Linked DNA regions of Mus musculus: regions 1, 2, 3, 4, 5 and 7 are each reported to be linked to region 6. The links are microRNA targets in miRTarBase. Many come from high-throughput screens and were not tested one by one. Region 6 holds a microRNA gene; each other region holds the end of a gene's coding sequence. Distances are between the middles of the regions.
Evidence for each region. The annotated mature microRNA mmu-miR-297a-5p reads AUGUAUGUGUGCAUGUGCAUGU and lies in region 6 at 1,498-1,519, shown strand. An mRNA with a match to its seed (bases 2 to 7 or 8) in the 3' UTR can be bound and repressed. Matches are read on the target gene's strand: a 7mer-m8 pairs with bases 2 to 8, a 7mer-A1 pairs with bases 2 to 7 and ends in A, and an 8mer does both.

Region 1 (4,393 bases), not on the chromosome of region 6:
CTGGCTGAGCAGCTCGCATCGCTTTCCCAGAACACATATGAGCATTTCGTGTAAGCTTAGTGACTGAAAGTACGTGGTGCTCCCTGAAAGCAAACCTAATTTAAGCCCAGCTCCCGCTTTGATCCAGACTTCTCTTTAGTTAATTTGAGTAAATTTTACATTGCCTATGAGGAACAATCATATTTAAGAGATGTGTAAGTCTGGCTAGAAACTCAAAAGTAGAGAATACTGATGACTTAGGAAAACAAAAGCAGGTAGCCTAGAATTATCACATTTTTTGAACCTACCTTGCATAAATGTAAGCTATATTCAGGACCTCCAGCAGTTTGGTATCAGGAAAGGACTCCTTGTGTGCTATTCATTAGATCTGGGCAAAATTCTTTCTAGTTCTAGCAAAGGCAAAGGCAAACCCCATTTTGGAGATATGTTCTACACCAAGGTGTTAACCAATCAAGATGTTAACCAACCAAGAATCCTCTCAACCAAGGGTAAAAGTGTTCAGAAGGAATTGTTCTGTGTTAGAGGTTTTCTACCATATCAGGAGCTGTGGGTCATGGGGTTGGTGACATCTGTCTTGATAAAGTAAATATCATGGCCAAATTCATTATCAATTTTTATTTCCTACCATACACCAAATGCACAGCACTGAACACAATTTTGTTGCAATGATGTAAGAAATATTAATCATTTGGAGAAACAGTATACAAACAAACTACTTCAAATAAAAACGCATACATCACTGCCTTTGTTTTTGTTTACAAAATACCCAATTTACAGTATCAATCATTAACATAGTTGAAAAGAAAATAATTCAGTGCATGTTATAAAACACAAGTACGAGGAGGCAAATAAATACAGATACACTTCATAAAACTATATGAACACAAATAAATTAACTGAAGCCATGTAAATTATAGTAATAAATACATAGGATTGCAGGAGATCTCTTTAAATAAAATATATAACAAACTTGTTAAAATATTTAGCAAAGTAAACTTCTGTCTTTGTAATAAGTGAGCCCATTTGTGTGCTTCTTTGAAGTATTGTGTAGCAAAATGTTCAAAGACATACTTTAATAGGAAACTTTGTGTCCCATTTATAGTAGACACTACTCGCAGTAGCTGCTTATTTTAAAATTGAGCTTTAAATAAACACCTTTCCTACCTAAGAACAGACATCTCATTTTCACTAAACTAAGATTCAAGAGTTCAAATGAACCCCAAGCCAAAGATAAGCGCCACGTGATGCATAACAATATCCACGGTTCCACGAGAGTGGAGTGACTATACCACTTCTCATGTATCAGAGCATGTAACAGTAGTAACAGTGAATTCAAGCCTGTGAATGCCATCACACTAAATCTAAATATTCATGAGGCTAATAAAAAATAAACACTTTTATTATAGCACAGAAAATTAAGCCCACACTAAAGTTCATGTGTACTTTTACATAGAGGCACATCTGCACATGAAATGTGTGTGCACACCAAAAAGGCAGTTTAGCTGGTTGTCTATACCTTTTCCTTAAAAAAAATAAATATAAAAAAACTTTTGAAACAATGCTTAACTACTTTACAGTCCCTGAAATAGACATTGCCTTTACTACAGCAACTTCTAAACTCTGATCCAGTTGAGATTGCAGGTTGAATTTCACGTGTGGATGAGTGTGAGTGCATATATGTGTGTAGACTGTGCTGTTGTGTGTGTGTGTGTGTGTGTGCATGTGTCTGTATGTGTGTGTATGTGCATGTGTGTACATGTATGTGTGTGTGTGTAACATCCTTTGTGTCACTTGAAGTTCAAGAGTTTTATCAAATTGAAACTGCCTTATTTATTAGGGAAGCAAAGACCAATGCTGCCAATATTCAAGGTAACCACTTAGCTTGGAATAGCATTTTTTTTTTCAGGCCTTCTGTTTTGCATTCTATTCCAGTCAACCCAGTAAGATAAATGCTATTTCAGGGGATACGGTATCTACACAATTTCCATTTGGATGTGTCTGTAGTTGTAAGTACAAATCTACACCAACATTGTCACTTGTATATTGTACTAACGTGTAGCAGGAAAAGCCAAGCTGGTCCCATCAAAGCTTATTTCTCATTTTGGGAAAGGGTTGCCAACTAGCCAATATGACTTGAAAAACAAGAAGACAAATCTGATTCACTTAAAATGTATGCTTTAAGCAGTCTAAATAAATAATTCATATTAATTAAATCTCTGCAGCCATGTGGAATACTATGCTGACTATTTTATTTAATTATTGCTATCAAGTTCTGAGTGCGCTGTTTGCTAACATCCTGTGCTTTTGTGAGTGTGGATTTCCCACTAGTGGGCGCCATTTATCTTCATAATCCTTCACAGCTCACATTACCAAAAGCCATTTATAAAAACAAAACCAGTAAAGGAGAAATGGAAGTGCACAGTAGAAACCAAGCTTGACCACAGTGTAGTCCTGACATCAGGATTTCCTTCATACATTTCTTTTGTTTTGTTTTTCTCATTTAAATCCAGAAAGATATGTGATTTGAGAACAGCATTTCTATTTAAATCCTATTAGAAGATAAATTAATAAACACACCTGTAAAAATATAGTAGACTTCAAAATGCAGTTAAAAGATAAAAAACTCTTTGATTAGTAATAAATAAAATATAAAATGTCACATTTATTTTTACATATACTTTACAAAATAAAGAGTGCAATGAAGAAAGAAAAGAAAAAGATATGAAAATAAACGAGTTTAATAATTGACTGCATTGCTTTTAATCCAAAGAGTTTATCATAGTTTTTCTTTCCTTTTTATGTCAGCTGGGGAAAAATTAGTGCAATGTTGCAATTATAAACACAGGGACAGCCTCTGGGCTCCAGGGGTATTAGGCCCCTGCAGATTTGTGGGAGTTCATGGCCGTAGTGACCTCTGTTTCCTGCATACTGTCGTTCTACACATGGATGCCCTTCACCGCCTGCTTGATGCTTTCCAGTAGAGCTTTGCATTCTGGGGAATAGTCCTGTTCCAGATTGCTGTACATGTCTGTGAGAGTATTTACATATGCTTCAAAATTCTGCTCATTGATAGGCCCCTGATGGAGACACAAGGAAACCAATCACAGAGGTTCAGCTGCCCCAAGGAAGATCAGGAGATAGTGACAAATGTTGCCAACTTATATAAGTAGGAAAAGAAGGGTTTATAGGACTGTGGCAGTTTGGGATAGGACAGAAAATGTGTGTGTGTGTGTGTGTGTGTGTGTGTGTGTGTGTGTGTACTATCTGTATACTCTTAACTCATGGCATTAATGGAATGCAATTGAATAGTATTGGGGATCAATCTGGAACCACATAATAAATGCTGAGCTAGAGGTGTCCAAACTATATGTCTTTTCTTGGGAAGAGTCTGGGTCTCATTTGCACTTTTCAGTATAAAACCAGCTGTCTGTGGAAAGTATGCTAGGAGGATGAAGCTTTTGCCAAGTGGTTCTTTAACAGTCCTATGTTGGAATGGCAGGGATTGTACTGAGCTGAGGAAATTAACAGCATCACCAATATAGCTCCCAGCAATGCATCTCCAACTCCAAAGACTGATTTACATTTGTGAAAATGTAGAATAAACTTTTTGTGAATTCTAAATAGTTGCATACTTATGAATAAGGGGTAAGGGATAAGAGATAAGGGATAGGAATAGGAATACGGATGCCTTGGTCACACACATGCATTCTATGTTCCATGAAAAGAAGTTGAATATTACAATGAGATTATTGGGAGTGTTATAGTTCATGAGTTGAGTAGATGATGCTGAGGGATGTATAGAATCAACTGTTTGAAAACATATTTACAGTGAGTGAGCTCTGGCATCCAGCTTTCAAATAACTTTATAAGATAGCTTTAAGTAAACCTTCATCCTTAAAGAGTCCTGGCCTTTTGGAATGCCACTGGCCTTGAATTATCTGAATATGCATATCTACCGTGTTCTTAGATTGCGAAAGCATTAAGCATGAAAATGAATCAGGGGTAGGTGACTGTCAATAGTTCAGCCACAGGGTAATGGAACAAAGACATTGAGGTAGATGATGGGGTAGCAGAGCCTTGCTCTTGGTCTTACCATCTGTGGAAGTTGGATGTCAGCAAGGCTGGAGATGAGAGCCTGGCTAAGCCCTGCCAGCTCCTTCAGCAGACTCTCATTGCTCTGTTCTATAAGCTTGTTCTCCTCCTCTATGGTCTTCAAGTTGCTCTCCATAGATGTTATCTACAGCAGAGGTAATGACATAAGAAGCAGAGTTAGAGGCCTTTAAAAGGTCTCTGGGGGAAACCTGAAGCTAGATGTAAGTGCCAAGGGATGCCTCCATCCCAAACTGCAGCCCTGCCCTTGCATTCTAAGTGTTAGATACCTCCAGATTTATAC
Region 2 (4,356 bases), not on the chromosome of region 6:
TTTACAGACTCGTTGAGGAGACAAATATCCAGTGCAGAAGAGTAAGCTCTTAAAACAAACATGAACCGAAAAAGAAAAAAGAAATCCAGATGCCCACAAAACAAATCCACCATGCACACATTGAGACACATACATATACACACAGAGACACACAGAGATACAGATAAACACACAGACACACACAGAGAGATTCATCCTCACACTGAGAAACCTATATCGAGACACATATGAGATACATAAAGACACATCCGAGCACACACTCACTGAGACAGACAGTGATAAACACCAATCTACAGGCACATGAAGACACATAACATGAAGAGAATGGAATGGAGTGATTTACCAGTTCAATTTGAAAGTAGGAAAATTACTAAATGCTGTGAATAATATGTGACTTGTCAGTGGGCCACTTATCAAACACTCCTTTTTATTCTTTAATCCTTTGTTTACAGTCCAGTATTCATCCCCTTCCTATTCTGCCATCCCCTGACTGCTCCCCATCCCATACCTCACCCCTCACCCCCTGTCTCCAAGAGGATGTACCTCCCATCCCCCAATCCTCCCCCACCCCCAGACCTCCCTACTCCCTAGGGTTTCAAGTCTCTCCAGGGTTAGGTGCATCTTCTCTCACTGAGGCCAGACCAGGTAATCCTCTGCTGTATATGTGTTGGGGACTTCATATCAGCTGGTGTATGCTCCCTGGTTGGTGGCTCAGTATCTGGTCTTGTTGGGATCAGAATCTCTCTCTTTCTCTCTCTCTCTCTCTCTCTCTCTCTCTCTCTCTCTCTCTCTCTATATATATATATATATATATATATATATATATATATATATATGTATATATATACATATATATATATCTTTATTTTCATTTCAAATGTTATCCCCTTTCCTAGTTTCCCCTCTGTCATACACTCTTAATGATTCAATCAGTTTTCATAGATGAAGAACTGAGTTGGACTATTTGGACCCATGGTCACTCAATCCTGGAAATTCTTTTTAATTGTTGCTTTAGTCAACTGGAGATTTGTTTTAAGTTTATTTCAAGAATTTCTTTGAGATTATAATGTAATTACCACATTTCTTTCCCCTCAAATTCTTAGCCTCTTTTTTCAATTAATTCTTATTGAGCAAATACATACATATGTATATACATATATATTTCCAAGTACAACTTGCTCAGTCAGTATAATATTACTTCTATTTATGTAACTTTTTAACGTGCTCGAGAACATTAAGAGGCCATTTAGCTTTCCTTGAAGCTACTGGCAGCCTTGGGACTTACGTAGAATGTTTCCTCTACCTTAGCAAATTCTGCAGATTAATCATTTAACTAAAGAATCTTGCATTGGGTCTGCTTTAGAAGATGGACCATGACCATGAGGCTCTGAGCTTAAGGCAAAGTTGCAGAGTTTTCACCAATATTTTTCCTTTTCTTTCTTTTCTTTTTTTTTTTTTTTGAATTGTATTTTATCTTTGCTCAAGATTGCAGAAAAGATCTTTACTTCAAAAAGACAAGTTTCAACTGGTTTAACTTGCCTGAAGCTATTAAATAAAATGCTGCCATTATTCTTGTTTTAGAGAAAAACCAAGATAGATTTTCAGATAAGAAAAAAATGACTATCATTATAAATTCAAGAAACTGACTATATATAAAAAAATCACTGAATTGTGTTCTGTATAAGATGCATATCTAATGAATAGGAAGTATGTTCTTTACTGTATTTTCTTCTGATTTTCATTGTTCTTATAAAATGAATGTCTTGAGTATTTAAGTAAACACATAAATAATACTTTTAGTATTTGTTTGGACTTGATGGTGATATTAAAATAGATCAGAGTCTATAATTATCCATTCCAGTCTGTTGCATACACATGAATAACTAAATTCAGTTACTATCAAAAACTTCAGAATGGTTGTTGATTTCCTCTCAAACATAAGTTCGTAGAATAAAAGTCCTTTCTATGCACAATGTGTGTGTGTGTGCTTGTGTGTGTATGCACATGTGTATTTGTACTTATAGTAATGATTCATTGTAAAGAGAATAAAACAATTAGGAAATATGAAATGCTAGTTTTTCAAGAGAAAGAAAAGTATTGAAATTAAAAGCCAAGTCCAAACAAAAGAAAAACTTGAAGGTCAGGGAGATGGCCCCATGGGTCCAAGTCCTTGATGTACGACCCTGATGATTCAAGTGAGATTCTGGGATTCCAAGTTGGAAAGAGGCAATCAATCTCTGGCATTTGTCCTCTGCCTTCACATACATCCTGTGGCATATGGATGTCTGTGTTCTGGTATACACACACACACACACACACACACACACACACACACACACACACACACACAGAGAGAGAGAGAGAGAGAGAGAGAGAGAGAGAGAGAGAGAGAGAGAGAGAGAGAAATACTAAATTAATACAAAGAAAAGCTTGGTATTGTAAATTATTTTTTCTAGCTTTTCTGCCAGTACAAGACATCCATTTTCAACTAAGTAACACCTAACTTATACACATATTGAAATATTTTAAGATTAAAAGTTCCAAGAATTAAATCTTATATCTATTTTTAATAAAAATTAACATTTGGGACATCACATAATCACATGATTGCATAATAATGTTTATTCTTCCTTACAGGCCATACATTTGTTTAACTAATGAACATATAGATATAGCTATAGATGTCATATTAACAAGAAGGATACAGAGATAAAGACTGTTCTTAGCAGAGAATGTGAACACTGAATTAACACCAGGCATCTCAGCTTCATAAATTATAAATGAAAACAAGAGCACTATTGTACAATAACATGAAGATTTATGAATAAACTACAAGTCCTCTGAAAATATAAGCTGTAAAAGATTCATTGTTAAGTACTGTGTCCTCGGATAGTCATAAATTCTTTCATGGGTATTGCCTATAAATGTCTCCATATTTTTAACGACTGCATTTCAAGTGTTGTAATGTACAGAAGAATTTATCTAGAGTGTGTACTAGAAATACTTCGAGATCACACCAGTGCTTGACAAAGGCATCGTATCACTAGTGTAGATTATCTCCTCCCTGCACCCTCATCTCTCCAATCTCAGTCTGTGAAAATGTGAGGCTGACTTCAAGTACGACATTGCAACCCAAGGGACTCTCAGCAAAGGCTATGGTCAGATATCTGCGGCATCATTTGGATGTCAGTAATGATAGAAAGCTGTGGTTCCCACTCTACCTTAGACATCCTGGATAAGAACCTATATTTGTAATAAGTGACCAGGTGTCAGCAGGACGTACTAAGTTTAAGCAGCACTGATTCCATATGATGCACAATACCAGGAACTTTTTTAATAAAGTAATTACATCTATTTTCCTGGCACACCAATGTACCACTTGATGCCTTTCTTGGATATAGTCTAGAGAGTGTGCAACAATGTGATTTCATCTTTGTGTGAACATCACAAAAAATCACTAAAACGTAAATGGTACACGGGATTCCCTCCATGAGGCCTCTTGATGTCATCCAGAATAGCTAATGAGATATCTGAACTTGCTAGTAGAGTCATGTGGCATATTGGTTCACAGGAAACTTTTAAAAATAAATAAAAGAGTTATACTTTAATAAATTAAAAGTATAATACTACAGTATATACAAAATATACATCTATGGGTCTTACATATCCCACATTTCCTCCTAAATCTTTTGTCATGGAATGCCACACTAAATAACAATCTCAATTTCTCTGGCCTTTTGGCCTCCCCTTCACAGTATTGCTTATTATATATATATATGTATGTTGCTTACTTTGGTGTTTGATTCTGCATGATTATGAAGAAACTCAGAAACAACAGTTTCTACATTTTGCCTTGTAGGATCATTTTACTACAATTCCTAAAGAAACAGCATAGGTTTCAAATCTCAGACATAGTATTGTATAGACTACAACTACTTTCAAAATGAAAAAAAGTGGTTCACAGTTTCAATATGTACTTTTATTTTAAACAGCAGCACACCAGACACAATGACACAATGGGACCATACTCTTTATACTGATAACAGCTTTTGACAGGCTAACTTATAGGTCACATGGATTACTACTATCCAGAACTATTTAAATATTTCCCTAAGTAACACTATAAAACAGAAATCCTAAATATATACCACTTGCAAACATAATGTGCTTTGTTCCTGCTTTCTTTGTACTCAAACGTCGTCATTTAAAGTTCCTCAAAGTCATGGCCACTTGTATTCATTGTTTCAGGGTTCATGACTCGTCCCATGAATAAGATTATGCCTGGATTGGTTTGGAAATGAACAGAAGAGGAAAGAAAACCATGAGACCTATATTTCCTGGAAGCAATGTTTGGAA
Region 3 (4,393 bases), not on the chromosome of region 6:
AGTAAGGAGCTGAATTCAAAGCATCACTTGGTATACATGAGGATCTCCTCATTGGGGACAACCACATCTTGAGGGCCAGTATTTAGCATTAAAATACATAGCAACAGACCAAATCTCAACACTGTGCAAATATAAAAATAACTTTTTATATATTCTAAAAACAATTGTTTTGTAGTGGGAAAATAAAGTACATTTGAATAATAGGTATAAGGAATTTTCTAGATTTTTTTTTATACACGTTAATGAATATTTCTTTTTAACAGACATTGTCTTTCCTGCACTTGACATTCTTCGCCTATCGATTAAGCATCCCAATGTGAATGAGAATTTCTGCAATGAAAAAGGAGACCAGTTCAGCAGCCATCTTATCAACCTTCTGAACCCCAAAGGAAAGCCAGCAAACCAGCTGCTTGCTCTTAGGACTTTTTGCAATTGCTTTGTTAGTCAGGCAGGACAAAAGCTCATGATGTCCCAGAGGGAGTCACTGATGTCACATGCAATAGAACTGAAATCCGGGAGTAATAAGAACATTCATATTGCTCTGGCTACATTGACCTTGAACTATTCTGTTTGTTTCCATAAAGACCATAACATTGAAGGGAAAGCTCAATGCCTCTCAGTAATTAGCACAATCTTGGAAGTTGTGCAAGACCTAGAAGCCACGTTTAGACTCCTTGTGGCTCTTGGGACACTTATCAGTGATGATTCAAATGCTATACAATTAGCCAAATCTTTAGGTGTTGATTCTCAAATAAAAAAGTATGTCTCCGTATCAGAGCCAGCTAAAGTGAGTGAATGCTGTAGACTTGTCTTACATTTGCTGTAGCAGTGGGGAAAAGACGCTGAGGGGTTTTCTTTTTTTGTTTTGTTTTGTTTTGTTTTTTTCCACATTTTACATGACTGATTGCAGATGTTTAAAAAGAAAGAAAGGAAAATTGGATTAAGTTCAGATCTTGTAAAGTTGTGTTGAGGAGAAACAAATTATAAATAAAGTTTTTGCACTGATGGTTGTGAGGTTTTCCTGTGTAATGGAGTAGATTTTCAAGGGTGTAGAAATGTTAAAAACTATAACCAATAACAGCACAATTATAACAGCATTTTCTTCCTTACCTTCACCACTCAGGAGAACACAGAGGTTCTATAACCTGTTTCTGATCTATGACATCTTGTTCAGTTGACTGTTCTCTTTTGTACATTAGCTTCTCCACTTTCACTGTTGTATTCTTTCAATAGCACTGATGCATTTCAAGGTCTTCTTTTAGGATTTACTTGAAAAATCATTTCAATTAAGTTTGTTATAAATTGTAAATTGATAAATAACAATAATTTCTTGAGCCATTTGTAAATAGAAAGTATCATCTTTCATGGTTCAATTTTACATGAAGAAAGCACATTGGTAAGCTGTTATATTACATATCATTTCAGACAACTGAGGCCTTAAATGAGTATGGCTTAGGAGTTTCTTTCACTATATGAGGTAACTTCATTTTTTCTAGTTTTGATATCTTACAAGTTAAATCATTTCTTTTATCCTTCACCATTTGAAGTAGTAGTGTCATCTTTCATTTCAGTTTTGTACATGTTGATCATATTCATTATTTCAAAGAGAATATTTGGAATTTTTTTACTTTTACTAGGCAATTGTGTAAGCAACATTTATCAGACTTTAAAGTAAAAAAACCTGTCATGTGAAATTAGTATTTTTAGTCCCTGGAATGGTCCAGGTCTTACATTGCTATCTAATTCTCAAATCAGCTTTCTTTGAAAAGTGGTTATTGTGCTTCTGTTTTCAAAAGGAAAGGTAATAGAATAAATTATAATAGGAAGGTTAAACATGAACATAAAGGCATGAGTACTCCATGTAGTCTAGTCTACACAGAGCACTTGCCATGATGCAGCTTCCTGGAAAGCCACAGGTTTGTTTCTAAACAGCCCAGCAACTAAAACAAAGGAGACATCCTTTAATTGAACAATTCATTATGTCTATGACAGTGCTGTTTCTTCTTTCTTTTTTTGGTTTCTCCAGACAAGGTTTCATTAGCAGCTGTTCTGGCACTCACTTTATAAACCAGGTTGGCCTTGAACCCCGAAACCTGTCTGCCTCTGCCTCCTGAGTACTAGGATTAAAGCCACCACTCCCAGCTCAGTCCCTTTTCTTAAGAAGTGTACTTATATTGGTATGTGTATGTGTGTGCCTTTTGGTTTTATTTGTTTTTCGGTACTAGGGACCAAACCTGGTTGCATGTTGGGGAAGGTCTACTCACTGGATTACATTCCCAGTTCCAGGCTTTCGTCTTGATTATGGAAGAAATGGTTTTATAAGGACTTTGTTAAAAATGGTGAGCAGTGATCTCAACATTGCCATTATGGAGAGCCATGGGTTTCCTGACTTAATGCCATATCACAGTCTAAGAAGAACAAATTTTTTTCCACTAAGGGGAAGAAGATTCCGAGTGTTGAGATTAATACAGGAAAGAACTTCTAGAATATCAAAAGGGAGTGAGGAAATGTAAATAGAGGATGTGTGCTTTACTGAGTATTAAATTCCAAGTTCCTGTGTGTACCTGAACTTTAAACTTCATGTTGCTGTTTCATTTATGTATTCATACTTTACCTGTATTGAATTGAGAGTTAAATTTTTATATCAGAATTAAATGGTAAAAAAATCATCCTGGTGCCATTATAACACTTGGCTTGTTAATACATCCATTCTAGCATGCAATTTTAAGTACAATTTATGTTATATTTTGAAAAGCAGGGTGGGTATCTTTGAAAAAAGAATGGATGTGGTCTTACTTAAAACATGAGTTCACTCTTCAGAATGTAAGAGGTGGCAAATTGTAAATACTTTTGTTTCTTATCACTGGCTTTTTTATAACTTTTATTTGTACAGCCTAACAAAAACATAATCTCACTTGAACCTGTCAAATGGTGGTTTACATATTTTGTTTTTCTTTAAACTTTTTTATAGACCTCTTAATGTTTTCTTGAATATAAAAGAAATAAACATTCATTTAGTAAAGCATACACACATCTTATTGACTGTAATCCTACTAAGTAGAAAACCATTCTTAGTTTTATACTACCATGACATGTATGTAAATATGCATTTTAATTTTTCAAAAAGGGATGTATTGGTCAGAAACTTTAATATCCCATTATATTAATATACCCATTTTCTAGTATCTGAAACTTTCCTGCTTTTGATTATCAAGCAATGCTATTAAAGATTGCACAACAATCTTACCATTCCCTTAGGAATATATTTTATGCATAAAATTGATGGATCAAGTTAATAGGCAATTTTGGATTGATGTCTGTCTAAATCAACTCCACTAGGACAATTACAGGTTAGTGAATCTCCTACTGTATTTTCAACTACATTATACATTCAACTACAGACATACGTGATGTCCCTTTCATTAACTATTGTTTTTATCTCCTTATAAATGCTACTGCTGTGGTTTTCTTATGACTAGCTGCGTTTGTTTTACTGGTAATATATATCAACCACACAGCATTATAGTTTTTTTTTTTTTTAATCCAGTGCAGTTTGGTAGAAACATAGCTAAAGATAAATCTTTTTCAAAGATAATTTTGGAGTTAAATGTAGGTTACTTGGTGCTTACCACACAGCATTTTATGAAGAAGTGATAAGATGAATAGACAAGTGTTTGATGTGTTATTTTTCCTTCAGGTCTTTAAAGGATTTCCTCCTGCATGTCTTAAGAGAGAACTTAACTGCTCAGGATTAAGACTTACCCAGGGGCTGGAGAGATGACTCAACGCTTGGATACTTGTTGGTTTACAGAGGACCTGGGTTCAGTTCCCTATACCTAATGGTGGTTCACAGCCATCCATAACTCCAGTTCCAGAGGACATGGTCTCTTCTGACCTTTGTGTGCCAGGCACAAGCATGTGGGACATACGTCATACATTCATAGATATATACAGGCAAAACCTGTAGCTGCAAAAAATATGTAAATTTTAAAGTGTTACTTAGTTGTATTAAAATATACTTTCTAGGGACTGGAGAAATGGCTCAGTGGTTAAGTTTGTGTCCTGCTTTTCTACAACCTGAGTTAGAGTCACAGTTCACAGATGGCTCACAACTGCCTGCTAACTCCAGATCCAGAAAGACTGGATACCTCTGGCCTCTGTTGTCTCAGCACTCAGGTGCCTATGTAGACCCACATATCTACACATAATTTAAAAGTAATAAATCTTTAAACTTTCTAATTTTAATTCCTAATGCATTTTCTGTAACGTACTGAATAGTTTAAGTATGATTATAGATATAATACCGAAGACCCTTTTTAACATTTTCCCATGAGTTTTCCTTTAATGTTCATAAAAGTTATAAAAAATTCAGTGACCCTCTACGGACTTAAAG
Region 4 (4,393 bases), 27 Mb from region 6:
AGCCATTGACCAACTGTTAGCTCTTCATCCAGGGGAATTTCCCCCATCTAGTTGTTCAACTGCTGTTGCCATTATAAAGCTGTTTGTCACAATATTGTTGAGATGATTGATTTTACAGGTACTGTTTCCTTGTCATGTCTAGAAGACACAAGCTAGCATAGGTGTCCTGATACCCTGGCTCTTACATTCTTCCTACCACTTCTGTAATTATCCCTGATCCTTACATGTAAGGTTTGTGTTGCAGATATGTATGTTGGGACTGGACACTCACTGGTCATGTTTTCTCTGCACTCTGACCAATTGTGAATCTCTGTAATAGTCTCTATCTGCTGAAAAAAAAAGAAGCTCCTTTGATGAAGGGCAATAGCTACATTTACCTGTGATTATAAGGATAATTACTTAGACTACCATTAGAAATTATTATATTAGTTTAGGAAAATGGCCATAGTAGGTTCTCCTCTAGGTCTCCTCTCCGGCCATGGGTAACTGTCTGGGTTTATAGTGAATTTCATCCCAATGAGCTGGTGTTAAGTCTACCAGACAGCTATTGGGTAGCCCTGAGATAAAAATGCCACCACTGAACTCTTGGAGGTATCTAGGTCTCTGGTCATTGTGGTTTTGTAGGTTTTACATCTAGGTAAAACTATGAATTATATCTCCCTCTTGGCAGCTTCCAATATAATGAAAGCCAGTGCTCAGGGAGAAGCCTTCAAGATCAGTTTGATTTCTCAAACCCCTGTATCTAAAGTGTGGGGTGTCTTCAGCAACAGGGCCTTACCTTTGAGTTCTGGAAGGCAGTCAAAGGGCAATGATTATTTTAGGAGTTCCCTGTGAATGTCCCAAGTCAAGGGGTGATTTCCTATGCCTAGCACTGGGATTATTGTCAAATACTTCATGACTCTTCAAGGGGGTGCCATCACGACACCTCACAGGTGTAACTCCTTGTGTCTACATGGGCATGTGCGTGCATGCATGCACACACACACACACACACTAATATACATATGAAGGTCGGATGACAAGTTTCAGAAGTTGATTTTGTACTTCTATTACGTGGGTTCCAGGGATGCAATTCAGGTCCTCAGGCCTGAGTTAAGTGATAAGTGCCCTTCTGAGGCAGAAGGCTGGTATTTGTTTGCTTGTTTATGTTTGTTTTTAGGACAGTCTCATTATGTAACCTATGTTGTCCTTGAACTCGTGGCAATGCTTGCACCTTACCTGCTGAGTGCTGGGATTACAGGAACAAGGAATCACACTTGGCATTGCTTTTTATTTTCTTGGTAAAAACCATTCTGCTTAGGGTAAGATGAAATCTCAGTGTGCTTTTGATTTGTTTTTTCCTGGTGGCTAGAGATACAGAACACTGAAACCCACCTCTTACCCTGCTCAAATATTCATCAAATAGATCCATGACTTTGAAACTATTAAAGTAATAAGCACTTCAAGACATGGATATAAGCAGTCTTTCTCAGTAGGAAAATAGTACCAATGTCAAATTTCCAGAACATAGTTTGTGAGTGGGACTGTACATAAAAATGAAAGTAAAGACCAGGATGTTGGAAATGCCAAGAACACAGTGCAAATCGCAAAGATGTTAAATGCTTTAGCAAAATGCTAGGAATTCAAATATCTAATATACAGGGGCTGAGTCAATATGGTATGATTTATTTAAATGGTGAACTTTTACAATATAGCAAAGTATTTTAGTATGTACTATTACATAAAGTAGGACACAGAATTCAGTAACTATCAATGTTATTAAGAATGGGGACAGAAGGATTGGAAAGAAAAAAACTAGAATACTTACATCAGCTTTCTCTGTTCCTAATGATTTTCTTCACTTCTACAATAAGCTCCTTAGTCAGAAAATGACAACTGTTTTTGTTGATTAAATCCAACAGACACTTTCAAGACTCATTTACAGTTAGTTTCTGAGCAACCAAAAAACTCAAGTGTGCATACTAAAGCTAATATTTACTTCCAGACTACATTTCTTCTCCACTGACACAAGAACATATAAAGAATAACTAAAAGGAAAAAAACTTGAATGACAATGAATTTTATAAATATACACATACACATAAAGCTATAAAGAGATCTATAAAAATGGTGACATAATTATCAGTAGTAAAACTGTATGGCTTTTAAATATCTTTTTAGCTTAATTTTTATTGTATGTTCTATGAGGGACACATTTCATAATAAAAGGTTCATAATAAAAAAGTTTGCCATCTTTCTAAAAACCAACCACCAAGCATATTACAGTATATCTATCAGTGGAAATATCAACAGCTATTAAAATGTTACAGAAGAGTATTTAATAACATGAAAAACATCTGATGTTAGTAGCTGACCATAATATCAGACACTATGCTCAGAATTATCCCAGTGTCATTTAAAGACAAACAAAAGCCAATGAATACATTAAAAAAAAAAAACCTATATATGAACTATACCAAAACATATAGTATTTAGGTGGCAGAATTACATTTTTAAACCATTTTTACATCTTTATTTTGGCCAATTTTCCTCTACTAAATATGATTTTTTTTTCCTAATAGGCAAAAAAGCATTTAAAAAAAGCTGAGGTTAAACAAGAAGTCGCCTTGTTAATAACAGGAAGAGATACTGATGAGCAGGAGTACAGAAAGATCCTCCCACTGAGGTTTTCAAGCTCCACACACACCAATGTCAGTCAATAAGATGCTTGCCTCCCAACATGACAGCAGTCAGCAAAAACCATCCTTTCCTGTTCATTATGCTGGACTGGACCACTGACCGCCACAGCAGAGGCCACTGCTAACTACAGCACCAGGCACCATCTGGAACCTTTAGTCTTGACAGTGCTAGGAATCAGGTATCTTGGGGCCATGTGCATAGTAAGAGTTCACCACCGAGCTACATTCCCAACCTTGTATGGACCCTGGTAGAGACAGATCTAGAGAAAAAAAGTACAGCTATGCATCTGATTGCAAGTAAACATGATTTGCAATCAAGTGATTATGGAAATGCACTGTTTACATTGCACAGAACACACTCACTAGGGAATTCTACTCTCAGAACTGGTAGAATTCTGAGGTCATCAGAAGACAATTTTCAAGACATTGCCTGCAAGGGTGCCATGTCAATATTGACTGGAAACAGTATCAGAGATGTCACGCTAGAGAAGTAAACAGCTCAAGAACCTAGTTTCCTGCTTATATAATTTGAAGTCACTTTACTGCTAGCTACAAAGTGAGTCAGCATTCTGATTTAATCTAAGAATTTCTTGACTTTTCACATACTAAATGAGACTACAAAGAACAGCTGTAAAGCCAGAAGACACAGGAAGGACAGAAATAAATACAGACATGTGTCCTCCAGCCCAAACAATGAGATAGCTACGGAACTAGATTATCAGTTCAATCTATTTCCAGATCGCTGTCTTCACTGTGACAGGTGGCAGAGTTTCGCACAGATGTCAGCACCAAGACTTCCTTTTCTGGGAGCAATCCAAATTCCTGCAGGAAAGCTTCAAGGTCTACAGCAAAGAAATCTTCCCCCAGCTGGTCAGTGACTCGAACAAAATTGCCAATCAATTCACCCGCCTTGTAGATGAGCAGAGCAGGAAGGGCATTCCGGGTAAAACGACTACTGGCCCCAATAACTGAGCTCCTCACCCGACAGAATTTGACGGCGGGGTACTCTGTGGCAAGGCAGATCATGCAGCCATTCATGGCTTCAGTCCCTGGGACGCCATCTTCATAAATATGAACCATGATAAGTGTGCTTTTTTGTTCTTTATCAATCATATCTAAAAACCCTTCTCCACTGGGGATTTCAAAAACTTGCTTGAATTGGGGCCCTTTATGAAACTGCTGCCGCATCTCTTCCATCCTCTGCTTCCGATACTGCTGCAAAAACTCTTCATCATCCAAGTTCTTGTCCTTTGTACCAAACTCCTTTAGAGTCATCTGCATGAAAACAAAGACAGGCAAAGAACACATTTGATCAACGTGGATCTGCACCCTGTACTTAGAACACATGAGACTTCACACTAGTGTCTTATTCATATTATGTCATCTCTCTCAAAATTTGTATGGATGGAGTGTATTTTATGTGCACCAGGTGCACGCTGGTGCCTGTGGAGGCCAGAAGAGGGCACTGGGTCCCTAGGAACTGGTGTTAAGTTGTAAGCCAGCACATGGGTGCTGGGAACCAACCCTGGGTCATCTATAAAAACAAGTACTTTTAGCAACTGAATCTCTTTCCAGAGATTCAGATTTTCCTCTTGGAAATTTTTTTAATTACTTTTACTTTCAGGGGGTGGGGGAAGGGGAGCATGCTCATACCACGGTGCACCTGTGGAAGTTAGAGGACAACTTGCAGGAGTTACTTCTCTCCTACCATGTGG
Region 5 (4,393 bases), not on the chromosome of region 6:
CAGTGAGTTTGCATTCACAGGTATGGGGCATTGTTAGTGCACTGTGCATGGCCAGGGAGAGCTAGGCAGGACCCATGACCGTGGACTGGGTGTGATAAAGATGGGAGTCCACTCTGATCCTCAGACACGGCTAAGGAAGACAAGGCTTCCAGTGAGTCACTGCGCCTCATCTTGGTGGTGTTCCTGGGGGGCTGCACGTTCTCAGAGATATCAGCCCTGCGCTTCCTGGGTAGAGAGAAAGGTGAGAGCGGGGTTGCGAGGGTTCTGGGGACAACATGTGCTACCCAGGAAGGTTTTCCTGTTGACTGTGCTACCACTTATACAGCCTTGCTGGGAACTGCTGCAGCAGGAGGCAAGGGACCATAGTCCCGCCAGGCTGGACACATAGCAGTGCCCTAGAGACTGCAACGGAGAGTTGGGGTTTTTTGTTTGTTTGGTTGGTTGGTTTTTTTTCGAGACAGGGTTTCTCTGTGTAGCCCTGGCTGTCATGGAACTCACTTTGTGGACCAGGCTGGCCTCGAACTCAGAAATCCGCCTGCCTCTGCCTCCCAAGTGCTAGGATTAAAGGCGTGTGCCACCACTGCCCAGCCAACAACTGATAGTTTTATTTTCTATTTTTCTCCTCACTTGTTGGGGACAGGCAGGTCCAGATGTGTCTATGCCCAGATGTATCTGTGCCTGTAGCCCTGCATTCTGATCCTGGGGCACTGAGGCGCTGTGGGAGTGGTGGGCTTGGCCTGTTGGGACCTGAGGTCTATTTAGTCACTTCTGCTACTTCTCTTGACTCTTAGGGTACAGATTTATTTTTCTGACAACTGCTGTTACAAACAGTGCTCGCCTCATGGAAGCCATGAGTGAGGTGAAATCCTGATGTTTTCCTGGCCAGTGCTGAAGTATTTCCTGATTGTGGATCCCAGTGAGATGCTGGTGTTTGGCATCTACCTTCTACGATTCCTGTCACACACACACACACACACACACACACACACACACACACACACATATACACATACACACACACACATACACACACACACACACACACACACACACACACACCCCAGCTACACTTAATACTCAGAGCTGGGAACTTTGGAACTAATTTTGGGGGAGAGAATTCATGTCCTATCCTCCAGGATACTCCTCTTGCTTATAAATTGTATATAGTTCATGCTGCTAAGATATGAGGGGAGAGGTATTCTTTGCAAATCCTGTTTGAATATTATTGTAAATAAAGCCTCTGTTCTCTCTCTCTCTCTCTTTGTTTTTTGTTTGTTTGTTTGTTTGTTTGTTTTCAAGACAGGGTTTCTCTGTATAGCCCTGACTGTCCTGGAACTTCCTCTGTAGAGTAGGCTGGCCTTGGACTCAGAAACTGCCTGCCTCTGCCTCCTGAGTGCTGGGATTAAAGTGGTTTTTAAACCACTGCTGGGCACCTCTGTTCTCAAATGCAATATCTTTGTAGTCCTAGACATACAATCTCCTTTTTTACATAGTGAGACTTTCCTGGGGGCTTCATGTGCTTCATGACCTGGACTTTCATTGTTTACTCTTGGAGGAGGTTTGGTCTGTTGCTACATATTGTAATGTTAAATTTTGTACCAGGAGTGAGTTCTCACATTTATCAACCTTTGTTGTACAAACCTTGCTCCTTAATTTAAAACTATTGGTTAAATAAAATGGAACAGCTAATTACTGGAAGGATTAGAGATAGGTGGGTTTTGAGTTACATGGTTGGAAGTTGCAACAAAGGAGAAAGAAAGGAGACAGAGGGAGGAGGAAGCCACTGTGAGGGAAGATGGACCATGAGCACAAGGCCAGGAGAAGCGGCAAGTGTCTGGGATACACCACTGGGGAGGTAGTGAGGCTAGCAGTTAGAAAAGTAGATTAGGGGTGACTGCCAGTAACTGTCATAGTCAAATAAAATAACCATAGCTGGGTCTCATTCTTACGTAAACTAGACAGGGATAAGATTAAAATAGTTCAACGATCCTGGGCCTACTCCGTTTTCCCTGGAGGGAGTCACTAACCTCCCGTGTATAGGAGGAGGAAGGCTGCAGTGGCCCACAGTGGTGCACACACGCCTTCCCATCCTAAGGTTCTGTGCTCCAGTACACTTCCAGAAGATAAATGTGTTACTGCTCTAACTTAAACAGACAGGTTTACTTGTTCCTTTTTTGAGACATGATCACTGGCTAGCCTAGACTTATGTAAACCAGGCTGGACTCGAAGTTATCATGATCCTCCTGCCTCTCACATGTTGTAATTACAGGTTTCTATTACTGTGCCTAGTAAATAAAATATTATGTTTTGTTTTCTAAAAGTAAGAAAAAAATCTTTCTGATGACAAACTCAATGACTTTCTATAATCCCAGCACATGGGAGGCTGAGGCAGGAAGATGACTGACAAGTTCAAGACCAGCTTGGGCTATGCAATGAGTTTCATGCCATCCTGGTGTACAGAATGACACCTTGTCTCAGAAAAAACAGGTGTGTCAGGGTGTGATAGCGCTTGGCTTGCTAGGGTGTGATAACCCTAGCACTCAACAAATAAACAGGCAAATAAACAAATATCTTTATAGTTGTAATTTTACTACTGTTATGAATCAAATATCTGTTATGTAGGATGTCTGCTATTCTACTCCTGTGATAGGGCTATTTGACACCCCCCCCCCCCCAAAGGGCTCAAGACCCACATTTTGAGAATCACAGCTTTGGATTCTACTTCCTAGACCCATGCAGTGGGAGGAGAAAACTGAATCTTTTAAGTTGCCCTCTATTCTCCACACATGACCACCCCATATACACACACAAATTTAATAAATGTATTTATCATAAAAAAGAGAAGCAAATAATGAGACTCTTATAGATGGTACAGTTGACCAATACAGAAAAGCAGACAATTTTAGTTATAATTCAGTATAAACTAGATTTTGTTTTATTTTGGGCCTATAGATGGAAGCTAGTGGTTTAAAAGCGCATTGCTAATCACCAGTGCTGTGGGTAACAAGGATACTCCAGGTAAAGTTTGGTGCAGAAGATAGGTTAATAAGTACCTCTTCGCAAAGGAGAATTCAATAATTACACTTCTACAAATCATTTTGGAGGAGGTAGCAAAAAAGAAATTCATCTCAGCTTTATTACAAATTTTAGTCTGAGTAGCAAAGGAGATACTCCCATAGCAGTGTATTAGGTAATAGTAAATCATTGAAAATGGGATACAGATGCTATGGGTCAGTGGGAAGAAAAGGACACACAAATACTTTGGTTGTTTTTTGTTTTTGTTTTTTGTTTGTTTGTTTGTTTGTTTTGGTTTTTCGAGACAGGGTTTCTCTGTGTAGCCCTGGCTGTCCTGGAACTCACTTTGCGGACCAGGCTGGCCTCGAACTCAGAAATCCGCCTGCCTCTGCCTCCCAAGTGCTGGTATTAAAGGCGTGCGCCACCACGCCCGGCTACACAAATACTTTGATGTCATGTTCAAATTGTGGAGTTTTCCTGATTTACCTAAATCTTATAATGTGCAAGAAAAACAAAGCCCAAATCACCATTTGCTCACAGCTAAATTGGGCAAGTCAGTTTTTTCCTGTAGCCCAAACTATTTCCCTGTCCTGTCTCTGCCGCCTACGTTCTGGAAAAGCTACTCAAATCTTTTTCTTCAGGATAGTGATGATCATTATTAACAGGTGTGTTCTAATGATTAAATGCGATAAACTTGTCCACTAAGGTACCAGGACCAAGAGCCTGGTTTTTTTTTCCTTCTAAGCTTTCCTGCTAGTCCCTGCTCCTCTTGGGACATTGGAGAGTAGCAAGAAGTCGAGCTGTTCTGGCAGTCTACCCAATACTTCTCAGGAAGCACAAAAATTTGAAACCCAACGGCAGCAACTCAGTGGGTACCGGTGACATCATCGGCCACACCCCTACACCCCACCCTTGAGGCGGGCATAGGTGCACGCATGCGCATATTGAGGCCCGCACGCTCCCCGTGCAAGCGCTTCCCACGCCCTAGGCGGTCTCTGTATCCCAGGCCTAGGCAGCAGCCCTTCGCAGGAGGGGCGGGACGAGGGCGGGGCTCCGTGAGTGGCGGACGCGGTAACCAATTGTCATTTGGCACCGCCTCTGGCTCGGTTTGAATTCCGCGGGGTCCAACGGCTCGAGAGTGGAGACGGACTCCGGGTGAAGTCTGCTGCGGCTGGTTACCGTTCTCCGTCCCGCGCGTGGCAAGTGGAGGGTCTCGATTCTGGACAGCTTGGAGCGTCCACCATGAGGAGAAGGTGCGGGTCTCTTAGGGGCGGGACCCATTACTGAGGTGCGGGTCTGGTACCAGGTTCGACAAGCTGGGTTCGCCGGTCTTCAGGCACCGATGTCTGTGGCTGGGGCGCTCGAAGCCGGCTCCGGA
Region 6 (4,393 bases):
ACACACATACACACACACACACACACACACACACACATACCCCGAATGGCACTCATTGATACTTTTAAATGACATGTGACTTAAAGTTTTAGAGATTATGCAGGGCTGGATCAGTGGGTGCTCTCACTCACAAGGTGAAAATGCTTGCCAGAGTCAGGAGGATCAGGAGTGGAAATTCATTCTCAAATTCATGAGTCCAGGATCAGCTTCGGATTCTAGTGATGCCCCCAGTGTATGTGCCTGTGTGTATATGTATGTGTGCATGTGCATGTGTGTATATGAATATACATATACATACACACATACCCATACAAACATGCACACAAACACACAGAAAATTGACACTCATCGATCCATTTCAATGATATGTGAGTCTTAGAGATTCTGTATGACTGGGCCACAGAGAGGTCTCACTCACCAGGTGACGCCCCTTGCCAGAGCCAGGATGATCAGGAGTGCAAATTCATGTTCACTGCATGATGAGGTAGAGATCAACCTGGCATTCATGTGATGACCCCTATGTATGTGCATGTGTGTTTGTGTGTACATGTACATGTATATATATATTGATATACATATAAATACATGCACACATATTCATGCATGCACACGCACACATTAATGGCACTCTTAGATCCATTTGAATAACATGTGACTTAGAGGTGAGAGATTATGCAGTACGGGGACAGTGAGTGTTCTCACTCATCAGGTGTAGACAACTGCCAGAGTCAGGTCTATCAGGAGCTTAAATGCATGCTTACACTCATGAGGACTTAGAGATCAGCCTGTGATTTATGTGATTCCCCCCATGCATGTGAACGTGTGTATAGTTGTGTGTGCATGTGTGTATATGAATATATATAACATCCACACATGTATAAATGCAAGCACAGAAACACACAAACATAGGAATGGTACTCATCGATCCATTTGAATGATATATGACTTAGAGTTTTAGAGATTATGCAGTAGAGGGACAGTGAATGGTCTCAATCACCAGGTGTAAATGATTGACAAAGTCAGGAGGATCAGGAGTTCAAACTCCATTTAGAGATCATCCTGGTATTCATTTGATGCCACCCATGTATGTGCACGTGTGCTTACATGTGTGTGCATGTTCATGAATGTATATGGATATGCATGTGCAGACACACACACACATGCAACACACACACAAACACATGGTGACTTGCATTCATCTACTTGCATAATATGTGACTAAGAGTTTTAAAGATTATGCAGTACTGTGCCCGTGCATGCTCTTACTCAACAGGTCAAAGTGCTTGCCAGAGTCAGGCCTTAAAGGTATGTGACTTAGAGTTTGAGAGATTATGCAGGGCTGGATCAGTGGGTGCTCTCACTCACAAGGTGAAAATGCTTGCCAGAGTCAGGAGGATCAGGAGTGGAAATTCATTCTCAAATTCATGATTAGGTAGGGATCAGCTTCAGATTCATGTGATGGCGCCCCCCCCCCCCAGTGTATGTGCCTGTGTGTATATGTATGTGTGCATGTGCATGTGTGTATATGAGTATACATATACATACACACATACCCATACAAGCATGCACACAAATACACGCAAAATCGCCACTCATGGATCCATTTGAATGATATGTGACTTAGTCTTAGAGGTTCTGTATGACTGGGCCAGTGCGTGATCTCACTCACCGGGTGAATAATCCTTCCAGAGTCAGGAGGATCAGGAATTCGAATTCATGCTTAACTTCATAATGAGTTAGAGATCAGATGCGATTCGTGTGATGCCCACCAAAAATGTGCATGGGTGTATAGTTGTGTGCATATTCATTTCTCTATATGAATATGCATATACACGCAAGCACACACAGGAATGGCACTCATATATCCTTTTGAATGGTATGTGACTTAGAGCTTTAGAGTTTATCCAGTAACGGACCAGAGCTATGTCTCAGTTAGGAGGTGAGTATTCTTGCCAGAGTCAGGAGGATCAGGAGGTCTAATTTATGTTTAACTTCCTGATGAGTTAGAGATCATCCTGGCATTCATGTGATGCCCACCAATAATGTGCATGTGTGTATAGTTGTGTGCATATTCATTTCTCTATATGACTATGCATATACACACATGCATACAAACTCACATACAGGAATGACAGTCATATATCCTTTTGAATGATATGTGACTCAGAGCTTTAGAGCTTATGCAGTACTGGGCCAGAGCTATGCCTCAGTTAGGAGGTGGATACTCTTTCCAGAGTCAGGAGGATACGGAGTTCAAATTCATGTTTAACTTCATGATGAGTTAGAGATCAGCCTGGAATTCATTTGATTGTCCTTGTGTATGTGTATATATGTGTAGGTAAGTGTGCTTGTACATGCATGTATATGAACATACACACACACATACATATACACATAAGAATGGCAGTCATAGATCTGTTTGATTTATATGTGCTTAGAGTTTTATAGAGTGTATAATTATGGGTCAGTGTTACATCTAACTCACCAGGTGAAAACCACTTGCCAGAGTTAGAAGGATCAGGAATTTAAATTCATGCTTAACTTCCTGATAAGTTTGTGATCATCCTGGCATTCATGTGATGCCCACCAAAAATATGCATGGGTGTATAGTTGAGTGCATATTCATTTCTCTATATGAATATGCATATACACACATGCACACACACACACACTCACACACAGGAATGACACTCGTTTATCCTTTTGAATGGTATGTGACTCAGAGCTTTAGAGCTTATGCAGTACTGGGCCAGAGCTATGTCTCAGTTAGGAGGTGAATACTCTTGCCAGCGTCAGGAGGTCCTGGAGTTCAAATTCATGTTTCACTTCATGATGAGTTAGAGATCAGCATGCGATTCATGTGATGCCCTCCCCCATGTATGTGCATGGGTTCATACTTATGTGTGCATGTAAATGTATGTATATGAATGTTCACATACATATACATAAACACACACACTGGCATTCACCTACACGCACATTAGTGGCTCTGATCGATCTATTTGAATGAGATGTGACTCAGAGCTTTAGAGCTTATGCAGAACGGATCCAGGGCTAGTTCTCCCTCCAGGTGAAAATGGCTTCTGTGGAAACCTGACAGCCTGAGTTGGATCTCTGGAACTCAGCACACAGGCAGGCTATGGTGTGATTCTTTTGGTTTTTCGTACACCTGATGATTTTCTTTGAGTTTTCAGATTGCAATATATCTTAATTTAAAATTTATCGTTCATCTGGCTCGGGAGACTGGAATACCTCCCTCATTAATAGCTGTCTTCTCTTTCATTCTCTATGAAAAAGGTCACTTTTAATTGAATGGGGTTAAGAGGTAAAGCTGGGTTGCTCTTAATATTGAAAACATTTCTGGTCGTTAAAAACTAAGAATCCTTTTGCTTATTTAATAATTCTTTAAGAATTTTTTTAAAGTGTTGTTTTTCCCTGTCAACACTTGATATTTATATGATATTAGAGTCTATTTTTGGTGATATCTTTGTCTCCTAACATAATTCAAACTAGAATGCTGTGCTTGCTTTTACACAGAGAAGTGCTTTAATTGTTGTACGAAATGTGTCCCAGCCTAATTCTTTTTCTGTAAGAAGCAGCGTTGTGGCTAGTGTTCAGGTCAAATGGACTCTCTGGTTCCTCTGCCCTTGCCTAAGGTTCTGTTGTTTTTCTGCAGTATTCCCTGATCGTAAATAAGAAGAACTCATGGGAATGCATGAATGCCTACTGTTTTAAATGACCTTGGAGCACCCTGAGACATAGGCGAATATTGCACTTCTTCTCACTGCTTTCGTTGGTTTTCCGTTGATTTTTGGGTCTAAAATACCAGCGCCTGGTCCCGTGTTAGGACACCAAAGCAGAGCCCACTTTGCAAGTGTTTTCTCGTCCATTATGGCCGTACTATTAGAAATCTGTTCTCAAGGCTCATTCCTGCTCCGCCATTCTTGCCATCCTTGTTGCTGATGTCTGAACTCACAGCTGAGGGTTTGGACTCAGTGTTTCTTTTCTAGTGGGACCCACTTCTTCTCTCTCCTGAAGAGCTGTGTCTCTTTCCTAGGTTCTGTGATGGTGATGTCTTTGTTTTCTTTTTCTCTTCCTTCCCTTCCCCTCATTTCCTCTCCTCTCCCTCCTTTCCCTTCCCCTCCTCTCTCTTCTCTTGTCCCTTCCTTCCCCTGTTCTCCCTTTCCCTCTTGTCCCCTCCCCTCCCCTGTGTTTCCTTCCCCTCTCCTCCCATCCCTTCCCCTCTGTTTTTTGTCCTTCCCTTTCCTTCTTTCCCTCTTTCACTGTTTAAAAAACATAGATTCTGGAGATGAAACTCAGGTTTTTATGCTTGTCAAGCAAAGCCCTTTACTGACTGAGTCATCTTTCCAGCCAGCTGACTTTTTGACTTTTT
Region 7 (4,393 bases), not on the chromosome of region 6:
CCCCAGTGAGAAGTCTTGAATTGTGACAGTTGACTGGTCATTCAGAAAGCCTCTCTCCAGGATCAAGAAAGTGGATAGAAAGCCGGGCATGGTGGTGCATGCCTTTAATCCCAGCACTCAGCAGAGGCAGGTGGATTTCTGAGTTCAAGGCCAGCCTGGTCTACAGAGTGAGCTCCAGGACAGCCAGGGCTATACAGAGAAACCCTGTCTCGAGAAAAAAAAAAAGTGGATAGAAAAGGAAGAGTGGGGACTGGCCCAGTCACATGGGGTGGGTGACAACTCCCAGACAACTGTCATGCAACTGCATGCCACTCTCGGACCCAAAGGGCTACAAGGAGGAAAGAGGATTCCACAAAGTGACTGCTGGCAAGGACATCTCCAAGAGTAGTCTGTGGAGTGACAGGGAAGACCTGCTACTGGGCTAGGCTGGAGCACATTAGTGTTTTCAGTGCCTGTATCCCTGCTGCTTTTCCTGTCTATTTTCTTGGCGTGGTAGAAATTTTAGATCTTAGAACGCCATAGGGTGGCGTGTCTGCCTGTAGCAGCAAAGAGGTAAGCCATCGGGATCCACGGACACTTCACCTTCTGTGGGCAAGAGTGCTGAACACTTGGAAACTTGTCCTTCACTGAGGCTGGGTAGCTTGGTGTGTAGGGTGTGTCTTCCTTAAAAGAGTTTACAGCTGGTGTCCAAGGGGTGGGAAAGCACTCAAGGCATGCTGCAGGCCCTACAGCTTGAGACTTCTCGGGTGTCCTAAAGAAAATTTCCAAGGGTATTTTCCCACCTTTTCTCAAAATAATGCCTGCAGAAGTCTACCCTGTGGAAACAACAGACCCTGCTCTCTGGCCTTCCCACATGGCTGTTTCTGCTACAAAGGCTCTGCTAAGGTCTGGGTGGCTTTGAGAAAAGCTTCTAGAAAAATTGTCATAGGAAGGGCCATGCAAGTTGAGGCTGCTTCATTAAGAGCCCTTCGCTGAGGGAGCCTGGTGATACAGGCTCTAATCCTGTTACTCGGGAGGCTGAGACAGGAGATCCAAGGGCTGCCTGTGCTACAGAGCTAGTTTGAAGCAGTATGGACCTGCCTAAAAAAAAAAGTGTTTAAGGGCTGGGGACAGCTCTGTGGTGGAGTGCTGGCCTTCGCTTTAATCCCTAGTACCACAAAGCCAAATAACCCTGCCCTTGGAAATGACACCAGCGCACGTGGGACGCATTTCTAGGGACTGAAACACGCCACTCCTGACAGAAGCACTACACCCACCCGTCTTTAGCTAGCAAACTCAGAAGTATCCGTGGTGGCTGGCCTGCTAGGTAGGCTGCCAACATCTAGGTAGCCTTCTCAGTCTGGAGGTGCCTTGGGTCCTCATTCAATTGCCAAAGCAGATCCTGGCCCAGGCTCTTAGACGCGGCACGGGGATGGGAAACGTGGGATTTGGAGGCAAACCTCTTTGGTAGGAGGATTTGGCCTTATTGAAGAAGGTTGCAGAGTATGTTGGTCTCCCAAACCCAGTGTAACCTGCCTTTTCTCTTCTGGCTCCAGGCAACTAGCCCTAAAGGCTCTCAATGAGCGGCTGAAGAGAGTGGAGGATCAGTCAGCCTGGCCCAGCATGGATGATGACGAAGAGGAAGCTGGGGCAAAAACGGACAGTCCTCTGCCCTTAGAAGAAGCTTCCACGCCCCCAGGGAAGGTGACCGTCCCGGAATCCAGTCTCATCACCTTGGAGACAGCTCCCCTACTCTAGACCACTTTGAGTGCAGTTCTTCTACTCCCATGCCTTCCCGATCCGTCTCGGCTACTGCAGAGCACTGACTGCTCTGAGGAGAGGGAAGAGGGTCTGCTGGGGGTTCCTGTGGCCTTCCGCTGTGTCTGGACAACACTAACACAGGACCCTTGTTGCTACCTGGTTCTGACTCCAGACAACCACAATGCCAGGTACGGGGTCTCTGAGCAGCAGCCAGTGCAGATCCCCATTTGCAGTAAGATTGTACCTCAGCGGTACAATTCCTCACCAAGGAAGTGGCTGCAGGGACACTGGTGCCACGGCTCCTGGGCCAGCCCTTATGTCTGAAACTGGTTGCCAACAGCCCCGAGCCAAGGCAAGGATTTGTGTTTGCCAAAAATGTTCTGGGGACCCAGCCAGTGTGGGTCTGAACATCCCCGCCCACCCCCAGACTGCATTCTCATCAGGGTTTCTTGTGCCCTTCTGCTGTGGCAGTGACAACTGTGCCTAGCCGGGGCTGCCACAGCTCCCAGGTATTTTCTACAGGACCATCTGAGCGGGCAGCCAAACCTGCTTCACAGTATCAATAAAGCGGTTCTTTGAGGTCTGGCTCCTGGGCTCCGTCAGACCACCTTGTGCAGCCCTCTCATCTTTATCAGATGCAAAGTTAAATGTGTTTTCTGGGTTCTAGGGCTCAGTTCCATGACACCTCCACCTGGCTAAGAATCCCACTGCCCATACCTCTTGTCTATTAATACACACCTGCTGCTGGGCAGTCTTGCCTGAGCCATCACCTTAGTCCCTTTCTCCTTTTCCCTCTCCTCGGTCTACTGGGGAGACCCTCAGCCAGTGGACCTGACAGACTTCTCCATCAGTAGGTGCTGGCTTAGGCAGGGCATGGTGGCACATATCTATAATCCATGTCGCAAACAAACAAAACCAGGCGCTGAAGGCATAGCTTGGATGACAGAACACTTGCTTAGCATTTCAGAGCTCTGGGTTTGGGTCCCAGCACTACATAAGTGGGGCATGGTATGGACATACATGGTACATACATCTATAATCCTAGCACTGCGGTGAAACAGGAGAATCTGAAGTCTGTCATCCTAGGCCATGTTGTGAGTTCAAAGCCCACCTGGGAGACTTGAAACCTTGTCTCAGAAACAGAAGGCAAATTTCTCTTGTTCATGATTCTACTTTCTTTTTCCCTTTTGAGACAGGATCTTACTATGTAGCCTTGGTTGGCTTAGAGCTCACAGAGATCTGCCCGCCACCACAAATGACCATGGTTCAACTTCTAAGTCCATCTCCTGTCACTGGCCATAGTCTCCAGACTCTAGCACAATTAGCTGGAAATAGCTGTGCCGTCCACACTTAGCCCCCCAATGCACTGGGATCAGAGGAAGTTTCACAGCAGGCTCTGAGGACTCCCATTCAAGGAGGGGCCCCTCCTTACCCAGCTGACCATTTTCTTACCATGATGCATTAGCAAGAACCATCCTCAACTCTGCGCTGCTCCTCCCGACAGGTTTTCAGGATTCTGTTTGTTTATTTTACTTTTCTTTCCTCCATGATTTCTGGACATACCAGTACAAATATAAGCTGTATGGCTGCTGGGGAGACTGTTGCAACTCCAACTTCACCCAGACACATGACCATGCTCCCCTGGGTTGACAGCAAGAAAAGGGAGACACTCTAGTGTGAGGAGATCTACCCCTGAGTGCCCTAGTCCCTGAAATGTCCCCAGACCCTGTCAGTTGTGAGAGTCCAACAGGTTCCGAGCTCCTGGTCCGAAGCTGAGGTGCAAATCCAGCCTTCGTAATAACTGGTGAGTGCTCATGGCTGGATCCTCTTGCGGTACAGGTAGGCATTGCTCACTTGGTTCATGATTACCAAACTGGTGAGGATGGGGCACAACACAGCCAGGTACCAGGCACCACCAGTGACAGTGGCAGTGAACCAGAGTGAGAACATGCCCAACAGGAGGCTGGCACTGCCCAGCAGGTAGCCCACCAACCCAGAAGTGGCGTGGTAGAGTTTCAGCTTTGCCAGGGGCCATCGGGGCAGCAACTTGGGGTAGAGCAGCCCCATGCCCCCTGAACACTGCAGACCTGCCCACAGCACAGCTAACAGCCCTGCCTGCCCATGCCGAGTGGTCAGGTGTGCTTTGCCAAGCTGCTCTTTGTGGAGGATGACAAGACCTAGACCCAGCAGAGCACAGAGTAGGGCCAGCAGCTGGAGCACCCAGTGGCAGCGTGCGCGGACCTTCCGAGAGAGGGACCGCAGCAGGGAACTCTCAGGAGAGAACATCAGGAGTGCCTCGGTCATCAGGAAGGAGAACTGAGGAGACAAAAACTCAAGTGAGCTCTGAGCACTTAACCCTCCACAAAGGTGCACCCCCTTCCGTCCCCTTCCCCCAAGGACAAAATGCTGCACTTGATAAGATGAAGGCCCTGTGTGGCACAAAATGGCTGCCCTGAGTAGTTAGAGCTGCCTCTCCAGACTTCTTCCTGGGTGTTTTTCTGAAATGTCACCTCGGCTATGTGACCCAGCAAACAAGGTTTGAGACATGGCAGTTATAAATGATTCACAAGCTTTGTCTCCCTTCCATGGGGCAGGATACAATTTCTTGGCAAGAGCTAGCCACACGGGTGCACTGTTTCAGGGACAATTAGAT

Region 1: the mRNA of St18 is a reported target of mmu-miR-297a-5p. Seed matches in the 3' UTR shown: 7mer-m8 at 1,758-1,764, 7mer-m8 at 1,738-1,744 and 7mer-m8 at 1,728-1,734.
Region 2: miRTarBase lists Serpini1 as a target of mmu-miR-297a-5p. Seed matches in the 3' UTR shown: 7mer-m8 at 3,778-3,784.
Region 3: the mRNA of Plaa is a reported target of mmu-miR-297a-5p. The part of its 3' UTR that is shown has no 7-base or 8-base seed match.
Region 4: the mRNA of Pdcl is a reported target of mmu-miR-297a-5p. Seed matches in the 3' UTR shown: 7mer-A1 at 2,913-2,919 and 8mer at 2,172-2,179.
Region 5: the mRNA of Vps33b is a reported target of mmu-miR-297a-5p. Seed matches in the 3' UTR shown: 7mer-m8 at 1,008-1,014 and 7mer-m8 at 1,022-1,028.
Region 7: the mRNA of Cyb561d2 is a reported target of mmu-miR-297a-5p. The part of its 3' UTR that is shown has no 7-base or 8-base seed match.

What each region holds. Positions count from the first base shown.
Region 1 is chr1:6,857,144-6,861,536 of GRCm38, reverse strand. It overlaps St18 (suppression of tumorigenicity 18), which reads right to left. Exons shown (of 22, transcript NM_173868.2): 21 at 4,094-4,237; 22 at 597-3,077. The coding sequence ends at 2,937. Among named protein-coding and RNA genes, the nearest start is that of St18, 130 kb to the right of the region's middle.
Region 2 is chr3:75,640,600-75,644,955 of GRCm38, reverse strand. Serpini1 (serine (or cysteine) peptidase inhibitor, clade I, member 1) reads right to left here. Exons shown (of 9, transcript NM_009250.3): 9 at 2,433-4,281. The coding sequence ends at 4,205. Among named protein-coding and RNA genes, the nearest start is that of Platr10, 13 kb to the left of the region's middle.
Region 3 is chr4:94,565,780-94,570,172 of GRCm38, reverse strand. Plaa (phospholipase A2, activating protein) reads left to right here. Exons shown (of 14, transcript NM_172695.2): 14 at 264-4,393. The coding sequence ends at 826. Among named protein-coding and RNA genes, the nearest start is that of Caap1, 11 kb to the right of the region's middle.
Region 4 is chr2:37,348,430-37,352,822 of GRCm38, forward strand. Pdcl (phosducin-like) reads right to left here. Exons shown (of 4, transcript NM_026176.3): 4 at 1,645-3,953. The coding sequence ends at 3,402. Among named protein-coding and RNA genes, the nearest start is that of Pdcl, 8.7 kb to the right of the region's middle.
Region 5 is chr7:80,290,324-80,294,716 of GRCm38, forward strand. It overlaps Vps33b (vacuolar protein sorting 33B), which reads left to right. Exons shown (of 23, transcript NM_178070.4): 21 at 1-20; 22 at 125-241; 23 at 792-1,256. The coding sequence ends at 871. Prc1 (protein regulator of cytokinesis 1) reads left to right here and starts at 4,153. Exons shown (of 15, transcript NM_001374624.1): 1 at 4,153-4,268. The coding sequence starts at 4,258. It also overlaps a transcript of Rccd1 not described here.
Region 6 is chr2:10,515,580-10,519,972 of GRCm38, forward strand. Mir297a-4 (microRNA 297a-4) reads left to right here and starts at 1,488; the gene lies at 1,488-1,585. All of the region lies in intron 10 of Sfmbt2 (Scm-like with four mbt domains 2), which reads left to right. Mir466l (microRNA 466l) reads left to right here and starts at 518; the gene lies at 518-638. Mir669i (microRNA 669i) reads left to right here and starts at 2,025; the gene lies at 2,025-2,151. It also overlaps Mir669h and Mir297a-3.
Region 7 is chr9:107,536,330-107,540,722 of GRCm38, forward strand. It overlaps Cyb561d2 (cytochrome b-561 domain containing 2), which reads right to left. Exons shown (of 4, transcript NM_001357289.1): 4 at 2,682-4,056. The coding sequence ends at 3,553. Tmem115 (transmembrane protein 115) reads left to right here. Exons shown (of 2, transcript NM_019704.2): 2 at 1,536-2,327. The coding sequence ends at 1,737. Among named protein-coding and RNA genes, the nearest start is that of Cyb561d2, 3.7 kb to the right of the region's middle.